Linked DNA regions of Callithrix jacchus. The protein of the gene in region 3 purifies or fractionates together with the protein of the main gene of each other region. This does not show direct contact. Links are inferred from orthologs where the notes say so. Each region holds a gene or a part of one and is shown on either strand. Other genes may lie near its edges. The genes, in order: CASP8, SNX9, FASLG and SNX33.

The links.
Region 1: the proteins of FASLG (region 3) and CASP8 purify together in Homo sapiens (co-immunoprecipitation; 8 studies listed by BioGRID and IntAct, with this or other methods). This does not show direct contact. The link is inferred for Callithrix jacchus from reciprocal best matches to the Homo sapiens genes FASLG and CASP8.
Region 2: the proteins of FASLG (region 3) and SNX9 purify together in Homo sapiens (co-immunoprecipitation; 3 studies listed by BioGRID and IntAct, with this or other methods). This does not show direct contact. The link is inferred for Callithrix jacchus from reciprocal best matches to the Homo sapiens genes FASLG and SNX9.
Region 4: the proteins of FASLG (region 3) and SNX33 purify together in Homo sapiens (co-immunoprecipitation; 3 studies listed by BioGRID and IntAct, counting the BioPlex papers as one, with this or other methods). This does not show direct contact. The link is inferred for Callithrix jacchus from reciprocal best matches to the Homo sapiens genes FASLG and SNX33.

What each region holds. Positions count from the first base shown.
Region 1 is NC_133507.1:122,364,692-122,368,254, reverse strand, and holds part of CASP8 (caspase-8), read right to left. Parts: intron 2,465-3,563; coding exon 2,359-2,464; intron 1,307-2,358; coding exon 1,168-1,306; intron 1,047-1,167; coding exon 1,002-1,046; intron 1-1,001. UniProt on the Homo sapiens protein: Thiol protease that plays a key role in programmed cell death by acting as a molecular switch for apoptosis, necroptosis and pyroptosis, and is required to prevent tissue damage during embryonic development and adulthood.
Region 2 is NC_133505.1:164,754,527-164,758,089, reverse strand, and holds part of SNX9 (sorting nexin-9), read right to left. Parts: intron 3,009-3,563; coding exon 2,905-3,008; intron 1,368-2,904; coding exon 1,264-1,367; intron 1-1,263. UniProt on the Homo sapiens protein: Involved in endocytosis and intracellular vesicle trafficking, both during interphase and at the end of mitosis. Required for efficient progress through mitosis and cytokinesis. Required for normal formation of the cleavage furrow at the end of mitosis.
Region 3 is NC_133519.1:30,108,620-30,112,628, forward strand, and holds the start of FASLG (tumor necrosis factor ligand superfamily member 6), read right to left. Parts: upstream 2,861-4,009; 5' UTR 2,760-2,860; coding exon 2,415-2,759; intron 1,865-2,414; coding exon 1,819-1,864; intron 1-1,818. UniProt on the Homo sapiens protein: Cytokine that binds to TNFRSF6/FAS, a receptor that transduces the apoptotic signal into cells. Involved in cytotoxic T-cell-mediated apoptosis, natural killer cell-mediated apoptosis and in T-cell development.
Region 4 is NC_133509.1:22,572,076-22,576,191, forward strand, and holds the start of SNX33 (sorting nexin-33), read left to right. Parts: upstream 1-1,308; 5' UTR 1,309-2,482; coding exon 2,483-3,953; intron 3,954-4,116. UniProt on the Homo sapiens protein: Plays a role in the reorganization of the cytoskeleton, endocytosis and cellular vesicle trafficking via its interactions with membranes, WASL, DNM1 and DNM2. Acts both during interphase and at the end of mitotic cell divisions.

The DNA.
Region 1 (3,563 bases), on a different chromosome or scaffold from region 3:
CAATCACTCTAATCAGAAAGCATACTTGATTAATCGCCTATAGTCCCAGCACTTTCAGAGGCCCAGGTAGGTGGGCGGCTTGAGCCCAGGAGTTCAAGACCAGCCTGGGCAACATAGCAAAACCCCATTTCTACAAGAAATACAAAAATTAGCCAGGCATGGTGGCATGTTCCTGTGGTCCCAGCTACTCAGGGGGTTGAGGCCAGAGGATTGTTTGAGTCAGGGAGGTCGAGGCTATCGTGAGCCAAGATTACACCACTGCACTCCAGCCTGGAAACAGAATGAGACACTGACTCAAAAAAAAAAAATTGATTAATCAAAATTTTGAAGGAGATCATTTAACCAAGGAACTTATGGAAAATAATTTAAATCCAGCTACTCAGTGCATAACACAAGCAGCACATGTCAGGGACAAACACACACACACACACACACACAGAAAAAATGATGTTCAATTACTTATTACTGACTAACTCTGCACCTATTTCAAACTTGCCAGCCTGGGCTGCAGAGTCTGTGCCTTGTGACAACTTTTCACATTATTCAATGTATAGAGAAGGACTACAAGTCACCAGTGAACTGTTATCCTGGTATTAGGAGAGTAGGCATGGCTAGGCGTGGTGGCTGATGCCTGTAATCCCAGCACTTTGGGAGGCCAAGGCAGGCAGATCACCTGAGGTCAGGAGTTCAAGACCAGCCTGGCCAACATGATGAAACCCAATCTCTACCAAAAATACAAAATTAGCTGGGCTTGGTGGTGCATGTCTGTAATCCCAGCTATTCAGGAGGCTGAGGCAGGACAATCGCTTGAACCTGGGAGGTGGAGGTTGCAGTAATCATGTCACTACACTCCAGCCAGGGTGACAGAGCAAGACTCAGTCTCAAAAAAAAAAAAGAGAGAGAGAGCAGTGCATGTGGTAGAAGGTTGTGGGGAGGAAACACGCAGGTACCAGAGAGTAAATTAACTAAATAAACCTTGAAAATATATCTCCAAGCATTACCATTTGAAGATTCATCTGAACTTCTTTCAAGGCTCATTCTTCTCTCTGAATTAAAAGAGGAAACCAACAACAGTACTTGATTAGAAACAACTGTGACATGGAGGGATTTGTCAGTTTCAATTTTACAGTAGGTTTTGCCGATTCCCGGCTGTCAAGTTGTTTCTACCTCTGCTGAATTCTTCATAGTCGTTGATTATCTTCAGCAGGCTCTTGTTGATTTGGTCACAGACTCTTTTCAGGACATCCAACTTTTCTTCTCCCAGGATGACCCTCTTCTCCATCTCTATGAAAATATCCAGCAGGTTCTAGGAGGAGAAGAAATAAAGTTGGGAGTCTGGATTGAGCTCCACTGGTTTTTAGATTAGATTCTTTTTAAACTTCCACTTTCTCCAACCAAGGACCTGCCCTTTCTTCCCAAGCAGACCTCCTGACAGTTTCTGCTGGCCTCTCATAGCCAGCAGGCTGCTAGGTAAGCAATCCCATGTTTTCTGGCCCAGAAAGACAGAAGTAAGAGGATAAAGGAGAAGCCATGTCAGATGTCACCCAGTCCCCAGGCCCTGAGCTCAAATCTCCTATGAATGCATTACCTGAGGACTGTGAAACAGTCCTAGACAGCAATCCAGTCACCATGGTGACAGCCTTGGGATGGCCTCACCCCCAACATTGCCTCTCCAGAACTGAGTACACAAAGACACATAGATGCAGATATCACATGAACATACACACACAGATGCACACAACACACACAGACAACATTCAGTGATACACACACAGAGACATAAATGCAAATACACACTATGCAACATGCACACAGACACACATACCACAGAGAGAACACACAGAGATACACCACTTATACAGAGACACACAAAGATACACCACGCACAAATACAGACACACACCATACACAGAGAAAGGCACACACAGACACAGAGATACACACACAGCATACAGACATACACAACACACACAGAGACACAAAACACAAACACACACACAGACACAATATACACCCAGAGTTCCAGGTCCCAGGTTATTCTGGGGACTGCAGAAGTGGGGAAATGTCTCAGATCACCACTGTCCCTCTCGCCTCTGCCGAGTCTCACTCTGGGCTGCCCCTTGCACAACAGCCTCCTCTCCCAGCCCCTGACTCAACCTTGCTACCAGTAATTAACAGGAGCAGTACTTGAGGATAAAGGAAGCACATTTGTAACACTTGTGCTGACAGCTTTCTTATTCTAGTTAAAAAGTGAGAATCCAGGTTGCTTTTACCAAAATAGCCCCTCACTTTGGTCTCAGAAATGTCCCTGGCTAACCAAGTTTCGGGACTAAATCTCAGTAAGATACCAGATCTTACCATGTCATCATCCAGTTTGCATTTGGAGATCTCCTTTTTCAAAAGAAACTTAAAAGACCTCAATTCTGATCTGCTCACATCTTCTGAAATCTGATAGAGCATGACCCTGTGGTGGGAAATGGAGACACTTTAGAAACCTTTTCCTAAGTAATGTCCCATTTGATATATGGAGTCAGAGTGGGCTTGATTCCAAAGGCCTCCCTTCAAAATAAAGCCAGTTAATGGCATGGTTTACGAGTTGAGTCCTTGGAAAGAGGCAGGTATATAGCGACACAGAAGTCTACGACTCCTCCCCAACTATCCCACCCTTAACAATTTAAAGTTCTATCAACTTTTCTTTCAGTTTATTTTAGTTAAATTAATCTTGTTTTCCTTTATTTTTTTTCTATGAAATCAAGATTTTGTTGCAACAGCAAAAAGTTTTCAAAGGACACATTGGCCTGTGGCATCGCTAACTAAAATTGGTCAGTGTTCTCCCAGTCATTACCTTCGGTAAGAAGGCCAAGCATTTGGTTCTGGAATACAAAGTCTCTGAATACATCTTTATCACAGACCAGACCACAAACACTAAAGGACCTGAAGCTCCAAACACACCCAGCTTGCCCTGCCCTCACCCCTTTCTGCTGTGCCCCCACACCCCATCCCCTTGTCTATCCGCAGACACCCATCCATGAACAACAGCTCAAGCATTGCCTGAGCATCCTCAAGGCTGCATTCATTCCACTATGACTTAGTATCCCCAGAAGGATAACACATATAATTGTCTTTTGGCCTGGTACAGTGGTTCACACCTATAATTCCAGCACATTAGGAGGCCAAGGCAAGAAGAAGATCGCTTGAGCCCAGGGGTTTGAGACCAGCCTGGGCAACATAGCAAGTTCCCATCTCTACCAAAAATGTTTAAAAATCAGCCAGGTGTGATGGCATGCACCCATGGTCCTAGCTACTCCTGAGGATGAGGTGGGAAGATCACTTGAGCCCAAGAGGTTGACACTGCAGTGAGCTGTGATCATGCCACTGCACTAAAAATAAAATAAAAATAAAAACAAAAAATAATTGTCTGTTTAGAAACTGTCCAAGTCCCTAATGGCCAGGTCCATGCCCTTTTTGTTTTCATTAACCCAGAGGGTTGTGAGGTGCAATGTTTGAGTACAGAGGACCCAGGCTATTGGTGTTGGAGCCTTGGTTCTACCATCTTTGAGCAG
Region 2 (3,563 bases), on a different chromosome or scaffold from region 3:
AAATGGGTATGGGTGTGTTCCAATAAAACTTTATTTACAAAATAGGTGGCAAGCCATATTTGGCCCTCCGGCTATAGTTTGCTGACTCCTGATGTAAGGCTTTGGATTTTCAGATCTGGATTGAATGAACAGTAATATTGCCATTGTCTTTCCTGTGCTATCTTACTAATTCATCTATGAGTCATTCCACATTTAGTTTTCTGCTCTTCAAAATTATTATTGGATTTCAAATTCTGACTGTTTTCCTTTAGTATAAAAACCCCACCTTAAAAAAAATTAACAGATCTCTTTTCCTCTGCTGAGCATCAAAGGGCTGATATATATTACTCATAATTCAAAGTATAAACCATTAAAAATTTTTAAAATGGAATATAACTAATATTTCTGTACAGTGTTAGGAGGTGAAGGCCAGAAAATTCTTAGTGATAGATTAGAAGTCCCTTTTCTCCAGAGGTTGAGACATAGCAACAAGGGCGGACCAGACAGAAAGGAGAGGAAAGTTCTAGTACTCTATGGTAGTCAAAGACATCTGGGCATTCAACAGCAGTGGGATCCCAGCATTTCAGGGCCTGACAAGTCATTCTGCAGCCTCTGTGCCTGAGGGGGTAACAGGGCAGCAGCCCGCAGCATTAGCCCCACAGCTGGATACATGACTGTTTTTCTATCCTGGGCCACATGTGTGGCGACAAAGCTGCATAGTTCTGGGGAATACAGGAAAAACGTTCAGCAGAACCACAGCCTACACACAAAGGAAAAAGAGGGAGGCAGGAAGCTCTCAGGGACAGGGCAGCGTGGGCAGAAAGCCGGGACTCATAGTGACACCCTCCCCTCGGCAGTGCTTCTGCTCTGACATATTTTCTATAACTAACTATACTTTTTTTTTCCTTAAAAATTATGGCTTTAGTCAAATATACAACATCTTACCAAATGAAGATTAAAAATAAAATGAGACTAAATATAGTGACAAGCACTCTCAAAACAGGCAAAAATGATAAATTTTCCGAAGATTATAAAGCCCTAAATTACTGGACCTAATTAAGTGAACATGGTGTTCCTTATGAGACTTCTTAACCTGGCTTTGTTAGTCAATTTTTTTGTGGTTTAACTTGGGTGAAGTGAGGTTAAGCAGTCACAGGAGGGACGTTACTGCCATCCACCAAACACATTTCTGTTCAAGGCATCAGGTTCCCTCTATGATCAGGGACACAAAACTGAGCCTGCATCACCACCTACAGCCCAATCGGCTGTGAGGAGTGGACTTACGCCCTGTGCACCGTTTCCAGTGCTCCTGCCCCACGGTCAGCAGCTCCTTCACACCATCATCCATGGCCTTGGTGAACTTCCCGACGGCCTCGCACTTCTGCTCTCTGTGGGCAAAGGCAGCCATCAGTCACATGAGCAGGAGAAACAGCACTGCTGTCGATCAGGGACACGTAGGCCAAACATAACCACAGACACTTGTTCTCCTGCATGGTAACAACTGCCCTGGCACTAAGTTAGCCTTAAATACAGGCTTGATACAGACGTTTGAAGAACTACTTAAAAAGCAGTTATTATTTTAACTTTGCTTCCTTTCTTCCTCTTCAATTCTTTGTGAATTTTAATTATAATTATTCTAAAGTAAATAATAACTTCTTGAATATCTCATTTAGTAAAATTCTAATCACTGGAGGGACCATCAAATCTATAAAAGAATAACGGGGTTGCTAATGCCAGCTGGTCACTCATTCCAAGTACTCCACGAAATAGACAAAAACCTGGATGCATAATCAGCTAAGTGACCCTAAAGGTACCAGTTCTTTTCTTTTTTGAGACGGAGTTTCGCTTTTGTTACCCAGGCGGGAGTGCAACGGCGCGATCTTGGCTCACTGCAACCTCCACCTCCTGGGTTCAGGCAATTCTCCTGCCTCAGCCTCCTGAGTAGCTGGGATTACAGGCACACGCCACCATGCCCAGCTAATTTTTGTATTTTTAGTAGAGACGGGGTTTCACCTTGTTGACCAGGATGGTCTCGATCTCTTGACCTCGTGATCCACCCGTCTCGGCCTCCCAAAGTGCTGGGATTACAGGTGTGAGCCACCGCACCCGGCCCAAGGTACCAGTTCTTAACAAGGATGTCAAAGCGTATTTACCAACCTGAAAAGATCACAATACTGTTAGATGAGAAAAGCAGATTATAAAACAAAATGGAGAGTGTGAGGTCATTTCTGTTTAAACAATCTTTCCTGTAATTGTGTACAGAGGAGGACTTGGGAGACTATACACTAACATATTAACACTGATTTTCTCTCTGGGTGGTTGAAGGGTTATGTTTGTGTGTGTGTGTGTGTGTGTGTGTGTGTGTGTGTGTGTGTGTGTGTTTCTTGTCTATACTTTTGGTAACACATACGCAATAATTTTATGATAAAAAAGCTTAAAATTAAAAAACACAAATTTCTTATAAGTCCTTAATAGAAAAGGAACTACTCCAAAGTTTCAACTGAGCCTGTATTTAAAAACTAAATAATAAAATCAATAGATTAACAAAAAACCACATAGAAAAAGCAGGTTAGAGACTGCCTCCTCAAGGCCATGTTCAAAGAGATTTGCTGTCTGAATACTGTGTGGGTTTTAGGCGGCTCCGTGCCGCCTGGTTTCATCACACTATTGGAAACACTACTCAACACCGTCAACTACGAAGTCACTGGCTTCAAGGTAAAAGAAGTTTAATCTGATGTTATGGTTAGAAAGACAGTACTTCTATGTACAAGCGATATTTCCCTTGTCATTGGACTACAAAGCCCACTTATTTCCTAAAACTCTAGTCTGACAATTTGAGTTTCAGCTGCGGCTATCCTGGTTGAGGCCTGAAAGCCAAAGGAGGTTGTGGATTGAGGAAAAGGAAAACCTGGCAGCGCCTCTCACATTTCTACTAGGTCCAAGTCAGGTGCCTCTGGCTCCATGGTGGAAAATACCATGACTCCCGCCAGCTCATCTCTCTCGGCCTTCCTCTTTCCAGTTTTCCATTCCTGTAAATGAGAATGTGGTAAGGTTCAAGTGGAGAGCACAGTCAAACTGGTCTCCAAAATTCCCAAACAAGACCAGTTCAGTGATCACCTTTGTCTTCCTAATTTCAGGAAGCAGCTCCCCTCTATCTCCCTCTGCACCATGGGCTAAATGCCTTTATACCCCAAATGTCATCTTAGGGCACAAACAGTGTCATGCCACAGAACGGCCCTCATGGGACCAAGTCTTTTCGAACCAATTCAGCCATGTTCCCTTTCCAATGGCTACCTACATAAATACGGCAAATAGAAACACCCTATACTTTTTTTTTTCCTGAGAAAGGGTCTCACTATGCCCGCAAGGCTGGAGTGCAGTGGTGTGATCTCAGCTTACTGTACCCTTGAACTCCCAGGTTCAAGTGATCCTCCCACCTCAGCCCCCCAAGTAGCTGGGCCGTTAGGCATGCGCCCCCATGCCTGGCTAATTTTTGTATTTTTTGTAGAGATGGGGTTTTGCCATGTTAGCCAGGCTGGTCAGGAACTCCTGGGCTGAAGCAATCTGCTCACCTCGGCCTCCCA
Region 3 (4,009 bases):
TGAATATCCTTATATGTAAATCTTCAGGCACAGGCACATCTCTGATTATTTTCTTAAGATAAATTCTTAGCTATGGGATTACAACGTAAACTATTAGTTCCAAGCTTTTGATTGTATATCCAAAGTGCTCTTCAGAGAAAGCTATAGCAATTTACATGTACACTGGCTGAAACAAATGTTTGAACAGGCTCTTTTCTCTCAAATCTTTGTCAATTTGTGCTTTTTTTTAATTTTTACCAATTTGATGAAAACTTGATATTTCCTATTTTTAATTTGCATTATATTAATTTGAATCTCTTTTCTTATTAGCCATGTGATAATTTACCAATTTCTGGTCCATCTAGAGAAGATAATTGCTTACCAGGCAGATAGACCTGACTCATCTGATCATTTGACTTTTAATCACTAAACTGACTCAAGAGTGGGTGAAATATGAATAATTAGGTACCTATCAGACCAGGCACATTCCACAGATTTTCAAAATGATCTTATTTAAGACATCCTCCAGAGGCTTTATTTTTTTAACAAATATTTCCACTCTGCTTGTGTACATGTGGAAGTTCTAACATATAAGGATTAGGACACAGACACAGGAGCCAGAGCATCCAACAGTGGCTCCTACAAGAACCTAACAATCTGGGATAGCAGACAGGCGACTGGGTTGCCTGCAGTAGCCACATCCAGAGAAATGGGAACTTGCTCCACTTCTTGGCCAGTGCTGCCTTCTGCTTGCTTCTGAGTTTCTAAGGATGAGATTTACCTATTCTCTTTGCAGAGGTATTCTGCTTTTCATCTATTTCTCATTCCATGGTCACTACAGTCAGGAGTTTCCCTACTTGATGAGGCACCAGTCCATGTGCTGGAAAGCCCTGTAGGTGACAAGGCATCAAGAGCCCGTGTTCCTTCCAGCCCCAGTTCCAGACCAGTGTTCTTGGGCGTGTTCACCTAATCTGTCTGGTATTTTGTTTCTCTTCCAAAAGACAGAATGACTGGACTAGATATATTCTAAGCTTCCTTCCAACTCTAAAAATTCAATGAATCGCATTGTAAATCTAAATCTGAAATTTCAGTGAACCTTAGACTAGTGAAGTGTGCCGTAAAATCTATCTGTACAGAGCTTGCAAAACTATGCCCTGACATTTCATGAGATCAGTGTTCAACATGTCATCTTCTTGTCCTAGCTCCCATACAAAGGGTTTTCCTTTGTGATCAAGGGTACCTCATGACCGTCTCTGTGGGTGAAGCTGAATGTCCTTTGAATGATGGCTGAAGTCTTCCCCTAAGCTACTCAGTGACTTCAAGAAAAACCATCCTATTGTGGGCAATTGATTATCCTCATTAAAAGCATACATCCTATAAAATAGTTTATAAATTAAGCTTCACTGTAATCTCTTTAGAGAGTTTAAAAGAGGAGAGGACGTTTCTGAGAAACATCTATCTCTGCCTTCACCTCGCCTTCTCTTCCCAGGAGTCAAAGCCACTGGCATGTGTGCCACAACCAAGATGCCTGTGGAATGCGACAGACCTTCCTCAGGGGGCAAAGGTCCAAGTTGTGTATGTGTGTCTCCAAAGTCAAGTGAAAGTGATTTTGAATTGTGTGCTGTGCTCAGCTATACTGATTGTGAGCAATTCAATTGACTTCACATTTTTAAAGCAGCTCGAGGAATCATATTGACCAGAAATTCAGAATCAGCCAGAACTCCTCTCATAGCATACATAAGCCAAAGTGTAGGACAGAATATAAGGCATTCCATTAACATAGTTCAGTGCTGAGGATCATCTTTGGGAACTCATTGTACCCACAAAAAAAGGACTCACCTATTTGCTTCTCCACAGACGATACTGCATGCCTCTGGCTGGCAGACTAGTAAAAGAGAAAGAGAAAAGATGTATAAAAAAAATAAAACTCTTTAAGCAAAAGAGGCAGAATTGTCAAATAAACCAAGCCCTGGAAAAAGAATCCAAATACCTCAGAACTTTTGTTAACTCAGGCTTTGTCCAAGCAATTTTGCCTCACTGTCCCCCAGTTTTGTGATTTGGAATCATATCAATATTTTAAGTACTTTCAAGATTCAGTTTGGTCATCTGAACAAATTTACTTCCAAGCAAAACTTAAAAGTTTGGTTTGTTTGTTACTCCTTGAATCACTAGGTATGAGGCAGGAAGTGGTTCAACAGACTGAGTTGACACATGAGGAAAAGAAAACTGTTGGGCTCTGATGCTTTACGAAACAAAAAATATTCCCCTCACTCATGTGAACCTCCATTTCTCTGCCTATAGAATAGAATAACTAGAACAACCCATTTCTAAGGAAAAAAAAAAGAACTGAAAAGCACTTGGCAAGCCAGGCAGTGGGCCCTGCACCCCCTTATGCCAGGTGCCTCCAGGGCACGGCAGTCCACCAGCAGGCTTACCTCTCGGAGTTCTGCCAGCTCCTTCTGAAGGTGGAAGAGCTGAAACATCCCCAGTCCCAATCCTACCAAGGCAACCAGAACCATGAAAAACATCACAAGGAGACACAGGCCTGTGCTGTGGGTCCCTCCCTTCTTCAGGGGTGGCAGTGGTAATGGAGGCAATGGTGGCGGTGGTGGAGGTGGTAGTGGCGGCGGTGGTGGCGGCGGCGGTGGTCTCCTTTGGCCAGGCCTTCTGGGCACAGAGGTTGGACAGGGAAGCACTGTGCCTGGAGGGGCCCAGGGAGAGCTGGCACTGCTGTCCACCCAGTAGATCTGGGGATATGGGTAATTGAAGGGCTGCTGCATGGCAGCCGGTGACTCCAGCCAGCCCCAGCAAATGGTCTTATTTCTTCCTAATCCTGTAGAGGCTGAGGCGTCAAGGACAGGACTCCTGTTGCTGACTGCTCAAGAGAAAGGAAGCTAGATCTCTCTTATAGAGTTTCCATAGCTAAGGGAAACACCTCTCTCTCATTCTGCTTCTCAGAGAAACGCCCACTCACTTTGCATCTGAAACTGAGAAGTCTCAAGAAGCTCAGAGCAAACCCCTTGGAAGTTTCCGCCCACAATTTTCTTATGAAGGCCTTTGAAGCCCTAGGTGCTGTCGCTGGGCTACCCAAAAAGGCTGGTAGGCTGTGCTCCCCTTCCTTGGGTCCTGCAGAGCAGGTCAGCACTGGGATGTAGCCCTGTTGGTGTCAACTTCTCCCAGCTACAGGAGAATGGCCAGTGGAGATATAATTTTATGAATTATAATCGTATGCATTTTTATAAATTATCATTATATAATTTTAAGAATTCTACAATACATACAACCAAAAAACTATTTTAAAATCCCAAAATAACTCTAACAAAAATTGTTCAGAATCATATTTTTAAATCCATAAATTTTACTGCAAATGGCTCTGAGGTGAAAGACCATGAAGTCATGGCCAAAGAAGTCACTCCCACATTTTACTTTTTGCAAAAGGAAAACATCTGTTGCCATCATCCCTTCCCCACACACAAGTATCATCTACCCTGACCAGCAAATCACCATAATTTACAGAGTAAAAACCTGCTACACCCACTTTAGAAATTAGCTCAGAGGCTGCAAACCAGTGGAACCCACAGAGCTGCTTTGTATTTCACATGTTTTTCTTTTCATTGGTTGCCCACTTTATTTATTTATTTATTTAAAGAGAGACAGAGTCTCACTCTGCCACCCAGCCTGGAGTGCAGTGGTGCTACCATAGTTCACTGCAGCCTCAAAATCCTGGGCTCAAGCAGTCCTCTTGCCTCGACTCCCAAGTATCTGGGATTATAGGCATAGGTCACTACACCTGACTAATTTATTCTATTTTTTTGTAGAGATGGGGACTTGCTATGGTGCCCAGGCTGGTCTCAGCCTCCTGACTTCTAGAGATCCTCCCGCTTCAGTCTCCCAAAGTGCTGGGATTACAGACATGAGCAACTGCACTCAGCCAGCCCAACTGACCACTTTAAATATTGATACTAAAAATATTATATATTTTTAAATACACATTAAAAAAATATTTCTATTCTCTTTTGAAACATCAGAA
Region 4 (4,116 bases), on a different chromosome or scaffold from region 3:
TTTTCATGGCACTAGTCACACCGGGCAGGGAGCATCTGTTTGCTTGTCACAATACACCTGAGCTTTTGGAAGGTAAGGATAATGTCTTATTTCTTTGTGGCTCAGGGGCCTGGTGCAGAGTAGGTAGGTACTCAATGTTTCTTGAGTGTCTAACTTGACTGAATGAATGAATGAGACAGAATGGATTGATTAAAGACAAGACAGGGTGGACTGTAAGCCCTCCAGGGTGGGAACCCCGACTGCCTGTGATGTACTCCCCAGTGCTCAGCACAGTGCCTAGCAGAGTCAGTGCCGGAAGTGTTCCAGATACACTGACCCAGGGTCAGACCCCACTTGCCTCTTCTCTAAGATTCTCTACCCGACCACCTCTCCTTGCTGCTGCTGGCTGTGACAGAACATGCAGTCCCTGCTGCCCACTCAGCAACCCAGAACCGGGTCGCACCTAGACTTGTTCCCTGTCGCTGCAGATGTAGGGTAGTCTGTTCCCCACTACCCCCCCACCCCCCCCGCCGCCCCAGCCCAGGTAGTCGCCCAGGGCAGGGTCTCCCGGTCTGCTAGGGTGCTGCACCCGCAGCTATCGGTCTCTTAGGTCAGATGCCGGGAAGCGCAGGCGGTTTCTGCCCCTCCGGAAAACAGTCTCCGAGCTGCGCCACCATCCCGTCTCGGCGGAGCAGGAGTGGGGAATGGGAAGGTGGGAAGGCGAGTCCGCGACTCTGCTCCCCCACCCCAGCTGGCGCAGCTTTCCACGCACCCCCCGATCGCCCGATCCTGGCTCTGGCGGGTGCTCCTTGCAGCCCCACGCTTTGCAAACTTTCTGAGTTTTACTCCATTTGCGTCACGGAAAAGGCAGGAGGATGACGGAGTCCAGGAAGCGAGGCAGCGGCGGCTGGCACGCTCCCCCGCCGGGCGCTCCAATCATGGGGGCGTGAGGTGTCTCCGGCGAAGGCCCACAAGCAAAGGGAGAGCCGGAGAGGCGGCGGTCCCAGGGAGCAGCCCCGGAGGCTCTCGGGCCCCCTGGTTCCCGGGTCGTCTCCTCCCTCTCGCCTTCCTGACTGAGCGCCAGTGAGCCAGGGCGCCGGCCAGATGGGAAGCCGCGCGGAGGAGTAGGCGGGGGCTCGGCTGTAGCGCCCCGGGCCCGCGGGAGGGCGGAGCCGGCCGTCCCTGCCCCGCTGGGACGCACGGAAGCGCGGCGGAGTTTGCCCGAGTCTCCAGCCTGCTTTCCCCTCCCTCCTCCCTCTCCCCACCCCTCACCTCCCCTTCGGCTATCCCCTCCTTCCTCAGGACGCCACCTCCCGGAATCGCCTTTTTGTTTTGGAGCTGCCGTCTCGCTGGCGGCGCCTAGGGTCTGCGAGCGCGGGGGAAGGCCGGCTGGGGGCGCAGCCCGCCCCCCACTGACTGGGCCCCGCGAGGCCGAGCAGAGGACGGACGGACGGCCCCGCCATCTGCTCGCCGGGGCTCACTCTCCAAACTCCTGTTGAGTGTTTGTGTGCACGCGAGGGTGGGGGGCGGGGGGCGTACGTCCCGGGGGCGGGACCGGTTTCTGCTGGGGTTACCTTTGGACGGGGTTCCTGGGATTCAGAGCAGGGTCAGCGTCAGGCTCAGAAACTGCTGAGGAATTGGGCAAACAAAAGAGACCACTCAGCGAGTGGCCAGAAGTCGCCGGAGCGCCTCGTCGCGCCCCCTCCCTCCTCCGGGGTTGGAGCTGGCCACTTTTGGGGCGGGGAGAGGGCGCCCGAGCTGGCGGGGGCTCCGGCTGCGCAGCCGGGGTCGAAGAGTTGGCGGCCTGTTGTGTAAGCCTCAGTCCTTGTTTTCCCGGCCTGGCTCGTTGTGAAGCCGGACACATCACCCTTGGACTCGATTCAGGAGGCTGCTGCTTTTCTCCTTGCCCCTCTTTGATTTTCCGGATTTTTGAAAACCCAGTGGCCCAGGAGCAAGAGGAGGAGGAAGGAGGAAGGGGCAGATCTGCAGAGGAATGTGAGAGCCTCCCAAAGCCAGAGCGGCCAAAAGGATCTGGGAGCCAGTGGGACAGCCGAGCCCTGCCCGGGTTTCTGGAATGGTGATTTCCGAGTGAGTCTCTTCTATTTTAGAGCGTTGTTCCAGTGGAAAGTGTAGAATTCTTCCCCTTGCAGAGCAGGTTTCTTCAGGTCACTTGATTTTTCTGCTGGGAGTGGGAGGAAGGAGAGACTCCCTTCTAACTCCCTGGGGGCTGATAAGGGAGGAGGAGACTGGACATGAGCCCTCCCTGCTCACAGACCTATGCCCGAAGACCTGATAGGGCAATTTCTGGGCCATGGACATTGCTTTGAAGAGCAGGAGGCTGGACAGCATCTGTGGGTGCTGAGACCCCACCTTAGGGCCTGAGAGGCAGGCTGAGCTGTGTGAGTGGCATCAGCCGCGAGTACGTTCCTGGACGTCCTTGTGAGCATCCCGGGTCTGGGCAGGACCCCCTTCTTCCCATCTTTCTTCACCACCCAGCCCAGCCATGGCACTGAAAGGCCGAGCCCTCTATGACTTTCACAGTGAGAACAAGGAGGAAATCAGCATCCAGCAGGATGAGGACCTGGTCATCTTTAGTGAGACCTCTCTGGATGGCTGGCTGCAGGGCCAGAACAGTCGTGGGGAGACAGGGCTCTTTCCTGCGTCTTATGTGGAGATTGTCCGTTCCGGCATCAGTACAAACCATGCTGACTATTCCAGCAGCCCTGCAGGCTCTCCCGGGACCCAGGTGAGCTTATACAATAGCAACACTGTGGCCAGCCCAGCCAGGAGTGGTGGGGGCAGCGGCTTCCTCTCAAACCAGGGTAGCTTCGAGGAGGATGATGATGATGACTGGGATGACTGGGACGACGGATGCACGGTGGTGGAGGAGCCACGGGCTGGTGGGCTGGGCACCAACGGGCACCCTCCCCTCAACCTCTCCTACCCTGGTGCCTACCCCAGCCAGCACATGGCCTTCCGGCCCAAGCCACCGCTGGAGCGGCAGGACAGCCTGGCATCTGCCAAGCGAGGCAGTGTGGTGGGCCGTAACCTCAACCGTTTCTCATGCTTTGTGCGTTCTGGAGTGGAGGCCTTCATCCTGGGTGATGTGCCCATCATGGCCAAGATCGCTGAGACATACTCCATTGAAATGGGCCCTCGTGGCCCCCAGTGGAAGGCCAACCCCCACCCATTTGCCTGCTCTGTGGAGGACCCCACCAAACAGACCAAGTTCAAGGGCATCAAAAGCTACATCTCCTACAAGCTCACACCCACCCATGCTGCCTCACCGGTCTACCGGCGCTACAAACACTTTGACTGGCTCTATAACCGCCTGCTACACAAGTTCACTGTCATCTCGGTGCCCCACCTGCCTGAGAAGCAGGCCACAGGCCGCTTCGAGGAGGACTTCATTGAAAAGCGGAAGCGGAGACTCATCCTCTGGATGGACCACATGACCAGCCACCCTGTGCTCTCCCAGTACGAAGGCTTCCAGCATTTCCTCAGCTGCCTGGATGACAAGCAGTGGAAGATGGGGAAACGCCGGGCGGAGAAGGATGAGATGGTGGGTGCCAGCTTCCTGCTCACCTTCCAGATCCCCACGGAGCACCAGGACCTGCAGGACGTGGAAGATCGCGTGGACGCCTTCAAGGCCTTCAGTAAGAAGATGGACGACAGCGTCCTGCAGCTCAGCACTGTGGCGTCAGAGCTGGTGCGCAAACATGTTGGGGGCTTCCGCAAGGAATTCCAGAAGCTGGGCAGTGCCTTCCAGGCCATCAGTTATTCCTTCCAGATGGACCCCCCCTTTTGCTCTGAGGCCCTCAATAGTGCCATTTCTCACACGGGCCGCACCTATGAAGCCATCGGTGAGATGTTTGCTGAGCAGCCCAAGAATGACCTCTTCCAGATGCTGGACACGCTGTCTCTCTACCAGGGCCTGCTCTCCAACTTCCCTGACATCATCCACCTGCAGAAAGGTAAGGCCCAGTGCAGGCGGGACACCCATCCTGAGTCTGGCTCTCTGCTGGGCCCTGGGGAGAAGGGGATGGCCTGGATAGAATGGAGCAACTCGTCTTTATTTCTCTCTCAGTCATTCATTTAACAAATGTGTTGGGCTGGGCACGGTGGCTCACACTTGTA